Drosophila melanogaster: one gene and its partner. The protein of the gene in region 1 interacts with the protein of each later gene in a pairwise test. Each region holds a gene or a part of one and is shown in the gene's direction. Other genes may lie near its edges.

Region 1 (2,884 bases):
TTTCAACCCATGCCACTACTAACATCTTTGCTTTCTTGCCACAGAACCTCACCAAGGACATGGCTGACTACTGCGTGCAGCGCATGAAACCCTTCTCGGAACCGCGCTCCGGCCAGCCCATCAAGGATGCCCTGGACTACATAGACTTCACGCGAACGCTGTTCCAGAACTAAAGAGCCTGCATTGTCTTATTTAGTGGCGCCTGAGCATATGTCTTACAATTTAAAGTATATTTCTAAAAACCAACAAAACACAAAAAAAAATCAAACAAAAATATATATTTACACCATTATTTTCGATAATTTAGTCTCTAAGTCAAACAGTTTAATGCTTATTTAAGAACCTATGCCACAATGAACCTTAAATCAACAATAGCACCTTGCAATACATATTTATCAACATGACTATGAACCATTTCTAGTTTTTGCATTTATTTATCAACAGCCCAATGAGAAAGTATCTTAAATTTTGACGTTTCAGTTTGAGAATTGGCTACGCGTCCGGTCGCCGAAGAAGATATCTAATCGAGAACATTGTCACAGTAATTTGATCAACTTGCGCCTGAAAAGCAGATAAAAAGCTTAGCTTCCAGTAATCGAGCACACATTTTCAATATTGAATGTCTGTAACTTGTAACGAACATAGATACAACTGATATACCAAAAAGATTTAAGATACTCTTGCTACCAGAAATGCATAATAACCAGCCTTTTATGTTTCCTCCAGTTTCTACGTGTATTCGAAACGAAAGTAGTAAGCTTTTTCAAAGCAGAAAAAAAAAAGAAAAACAAAACAATAAATATTTGCCTCTGTATTGGACGTATATTTACAACTCGTGAATTGCAAAAATAAATATATTGCTGCATGTCTAAATATGTTAAATGAGTGGAGTTTTTATTAAAAATTCAGGGGAGTCTGTAATCTGATTTTGCAGAAGGAAGTTGGCAAAAGTATCAGCATCTCACCAGATTCTTCTCAAATGAAAGGCAGCTAGTAGATAGATATTCCTCTGAAGTATTTTTATTTATTTGTTAGATATCAAAACAATTTTAACAATTACGATTACAACAAGAACTTTTTAACGCTTTGGGCATAGGCTGTATTGGTCAGCTTTTCATTGAGCGCCTCCTTGGGAAGCCACTCGAACTTGGTCAGATTTTCGGGCACCTGGCCGGACCGCAGGGATGCTCTGTAGAAGAAGACCTTGGCTCCGACAGTCTCCGTCCGCTGGTTTCTGGGATACTTGTATTTGTGGAAGCCCACTGGGGCGTTGCCGTAGAAAAGAACCTGCAGCTCCTGGCCGCAACTCTCGCGGAGCACTCTTTCTGCAGTCTGACGCATGGACTCTCCCTCCTCACGCTTTCCCTGCGGTAGAATGAGGTGCTCCTGCTGGCCCAGCTTCTGCTGTACCAAAAGGTAGAGCGTGTCATCCAGACAGCGGTCCGTGGAGGTGGTTCTGTTGGCCTGGTCATCGGGCGTGGTGCGGGAGCCCAACTGGAACTTTTTTAGCTCCTCGACGTAGGCGTCCTTGAGGTCCTGAGCTGTCTGCTTGGATCCTGCGTCCTCCAAGTCCACCTGGATCTTGCCCTGCTTTATGAGCTCCGCCTGGACGATCTCACGTTCATGCTTGAGTTCATGGTCAGACTTCAGGCTGTTTTCGTACTCCACGCGCCATAGCAAGTCTTGGAACTGTTTTTCCAGCGGATTAAGGGACTTGGACACCACAGGGAGACGCTCTACGAGCACTCCGGCGTACAGGTCCCACTTTTCCGCGCTGGCGGTTGACGATTGGGCTCGGCTCAACTCCCGGGCACCCACTTGGACAATGCGACGCAGCATTTTAATCAGTTTAATTTAATTTTTTCGGAAAATAGAATGTTGACCACCGATTACATGAGCACCAGAGCCGGAACAGCTGATTTGCGGCACAGTTATCGTTATCGGAGAGCGCGTCGCTAGCCTCTTGCCACAATTAGTATTTATTTTGTTCTGTTTGGAGAAGTTATCAAGGAAAGACTGCTAAAATGTCCGGTCTGGAGTCGTATATCAATCACACAGTCTCCATCATTACGGCAGACGGACGGAACTTCATCGGGACACTCAAGGGATTCGACCAGACCATCAATATCATCATAGACGAGTGCCATGAGCGCGTCTTCTCTACCACCTCCGGCATCGAGCAAATCGTGCTGGGACTGCACATCATCCGGGGGGACAACATCGCGGTGATCGGACTGATAGACGAGACCATCGACTCCCGCCTGGATTTGGCCAACATTAGGGGCGAGCCGCTGGGTCCCGTGGTGCACTAGGATAGCGAATAAAACCAGTGATTCTCAAGACTTAACAGGGTGTATTATTTGTATTAATGAAGTTTCTTATTCTGCATCTACGCTAAAGTTGACCATGCGGCAATCCAGCGTATCCAGGTCAACGACGGCCACACTCTGTGTTTTGCTAAAACTGGGCACGCAGACTAGGCGGGTGCGCTTGCCTTCGGAACCCTCGTGCAGCTCGGTCGCAAACGACTCGCAGTTGCCGGCGTAGTAAACGTGCGGACACTCGCGCAGGATGAAGGGATCACTTTCGATGTACGGGTAGCACGCTAGAGTGTCCGGTGCAGTGGGAGCAACATGTCCCCAGGTGAGGGTGCAGCGAAGGGCCTCCAGCGCCGAGTCCAGCGAAGTGCTGCGCAACAGATCCGATACATTCTGGCCAGATGTGCCTACCACCAGGGCCTCATCCAGCCGGCAGCTGTACGGATTAGTCACCGCCTGGAAAGTTGCCAGTTGAGCAGCCTGGGGAAACATGCACTTGTGGAACGGCTGCTGGGGCAGCATAAAGTTGGCCGGGTCGTAGGGTCCCGGCATTATGTCGACGGGCA
Region 2 (2,930 bases), about 11 Mb from region 1:
CGCAAGGCCAAGCAGAATGGTGGCTCCGGCGGAGGATCGGGCAGTGGGCGTGGCACGGGCAATTCCAGCGCCACCGACGATAAGGACACCAATGACAAGGAGGACAAGTGCGTCAAGCAGGAGCTCGGAGGAGATAGCTCCGGTTATTTGGGTGGATTGGACAGCACTTTCGCCAGCCAGCCGCTGAATCCCAATTTGCCCTTCTCACCGGATGGTAAGTGGTTCGATTTGAAGTTTGATTTCGTCCAAGCATTATTCTACAAGTACTAATGGCTTGCTTTTCAACAGACTATCCGGCCAACTCGAATGACAGCTTCTGCAGCTCGGACCTCTCGCTGGATGGGAGCAACTTTGACCAGTTGGATGACGATGCGGACTCGCTGTCGCTGAACAACCTGGAGCTGCAGTCCACCAGCTCGTCGGGCAACCAGCACTCGCACTCCCACTCGAATCCCCACGACATGCTGGCCAACCTGAACAACAGCCTGATAAACCCCATCGACAAGCTGTATCTCATGCAGAACTCGTACTTCAGCTCGGAGCATTAGATGGCCATTGGCTGGAATGACAGGGAAGCACCGAGGCGATCGTGGGATAGAGACGAATTTATTAGCGTTAGAGTGGCAGGATCCGATGGAAAAGGGACGCGAGGTCCTTGCTGTTACTTTAAAACGTAGCGCGTAGTTGGCACCTTCCGCATTCGGCGCATTAAGTTGGAGTCGTAGAACCGGATACAAGATACATCAAATGTGATTTTTTTAAGCTAATTGAAATTTTAAGATTCTTGGCGATTTGAAGGCGCAGAAAAACGGGGCGGGCAGCACATCTTTTTGTTGGTATAGACTCTAGAGGCAAACCAAAAAAAAAAATGTATAACTCCTTGAGAAATGGCAAAGTGGTCAATGCGCCCTCTTATGTTTGTAAATAGTTTTAACCACCCGAGAAAATTGTTATTAAATGTAATTTAAAAGTCAATAATTGTATTAGCAAGTGCAATTTAATCTGTTCCCCTAAAATATACATCTTAACCGAATTCTTGCAAATGTCTGTGGATCTTATCTTCGAATTAACGGATGCGTTCAATATTTTAAATGGGTTGGGATTGACTTGCGATTGTTAATATTTTTATTTCGCATGATTTTCCTTTATTTCTTATTTTTTATCCTTCGTCTTTTATCGGTAATATCGTCTCTTATTTTAAAAAATTAATTTTTTTTTTATATAATTGTAAGAATATTTATTTATTTATTTCGTATTTATTTACACAGCCTAATTTATTTTAAATTTTTTATTTGCCGTATTATCGAAAAATCCATTTAAGATGCGTTGATGCTTGATAATAAATAAAGAGCACAATAACTAAAAAGAAAACTTATTGCGTTTACTGTATTTACTCGACTGCGAATATATACACCTTTTTTTTGTGAATACTATGAATGCCTTAGTAAAGCTTCATAAATTGACCGAAATATATTATTTAAAAACCATATTTTTTTGCCCGCCAAAATGCTGCCCGTACAAAGCTGGCTTTTATGAAACTCGACCAATAGCGACGACAAAGCGTTGCCACATGGATAGAAATAATTAACAGATGGCAGCTCAGCTACTGCTTAATTCCTTTTAAGCCACACAGTTTAAAGATTTAATATACATTAATTTTTGATCAAATTTTATGAAAGTAATATTTATAAGCCAAATGTTAATAGAATATCGTTACTCACAATCACACATGAAATGTATCGATATGTATTTTTTAAAACAGCGATCGATAGTTTTTTATTTTTACAGTGCACATCTCTAAAAAAAAACAACGCGTTCGTCGAAATTGCAATAAACAATAACAATGGTACAAAACCGAAATAACTGTGAATTTAAGAATTAACATTAACGCTTTATGTAATCTGCAGCTCTTTTACTCCTTCTTCAAGTCGCTGGTGGGCAAGGAAGTCGTTGTGGAGTTGAAAAACGACCTCAGGTGAGATTCGTTTATTTGCCGGTAAATTGAGGAATTTTTAATACTTTCTTTATAATTAAACAGCATATGTGGCACCCTGCACTCGGTGGATCAGTACCTGAACATCAAGCTGACGGATATCAGTGTCACAGATCCGGACAAGTACCCCCACATGCTGAGCGTCAAGAACTGCTTCATCCGTGGCTCCGTGGTGCGATACGTGCAGCTGCCGGGCGACGAGGTGGACACCCAGCTGCTCCAGGATGCGGCGCGAAAGGAGGCTGTTGTGAGCACAAGATAAGAATACCACTACCAGCAGCCCAATTGGATCTACCCATTGCTTCGTAAACTGTCCTAAAAACCTAAGTGAAATTCTGTTAAAGCAAAACCAATAAGAGGAATCCCCGTATTAAGTCGCTATGTACGTTATTTACGGCCCATCAGTTTTCGATGAGTCAGTCTCGAGGTTACCGTGGGTGCTGCTCCCTACGCTTGCGCAAATGTCCCAGCTTTTATCGCTCCACGCTTGAATGGAGCCAGTAGAGCCAAGTGTGGCTTGTGGGCCAAATTTTGTGTCATGTTGATAATGGTCCATAAATTTGTATAATTGCTGTGACGATGTACTGGCTGTCTGAATGTCTGGATGCCTTGTCTACACATCACCGGATACACGGACTCATTCATACAAGGTTTCCACAATGGGTTGCTATATCACACGACTATACTCGTATGTACTTGCAGCCCGTTTTACGATTGTGATTGCTATTATGGCCCGGCCCTCGAATTCAACCTTTTATCCGCAATAAAATGGAGGAGCCTGGCGGAATGCTTTTAATTTTCTGGACCTCGACCCGCTCCTTAAGTGCCTCTTCGCCAGCCGCCATCGAATGGCTTTGTTTGCTGGAATTCGTACTTAAAATAAAATACGCATTCGTGGAACACTTTTCGCTCGGCATTTACATTTCGGAATGGCCAG

The links.
Region 2: the proteins of CG2021 (region 1) and CG10418 interact in a two-hybrid assay, tested with the Drosophila melanogaster proteins (2 studies listed by BioGRID).

Annotation. Positions count from the first base shown.
Region 1 is NT_037436.4:1,776,471-1,779,354, reverse strand, and holds CG2021 (uncharacterized protein), read left to right. Parts: upstream 1-1,943; 5' UTR 1,944-2,024; coding exon 2,025-2,312; 3' UTR 2,313-2,345; downstream 2,346-2,884. Other genes in the region: alpha-Spec (alpha spectrin), read left to right, coding at 45-173; mRpL46 (mitochondrial ribosomal protein L46), read right to left, coding at 1,063-1,839; PolD2 (DNA polymerase delta subunit 2), read right to left, coding at 2,379-2,884.
Region 2 is NT_037436.4:12,334,872-12,337,801, forward strand, and holds CG10418 (uncharacterized protein), read left to right. Parts: upstream 1-1,804; 5' UTR 1,805-1,843; coding exon 1,844-1,846; intron 1,847-1,907; coding exon 1,908-1,975; intron 1,976-2,038; coding exon 2,039-2,255; 3' UTR 2,256-2,365; downstream 2,366-2,930. Other genes in the region: Lmx1a (LIM homeobox transcription factor 1 alpha), read left to right, coding at 1-214, 289-548.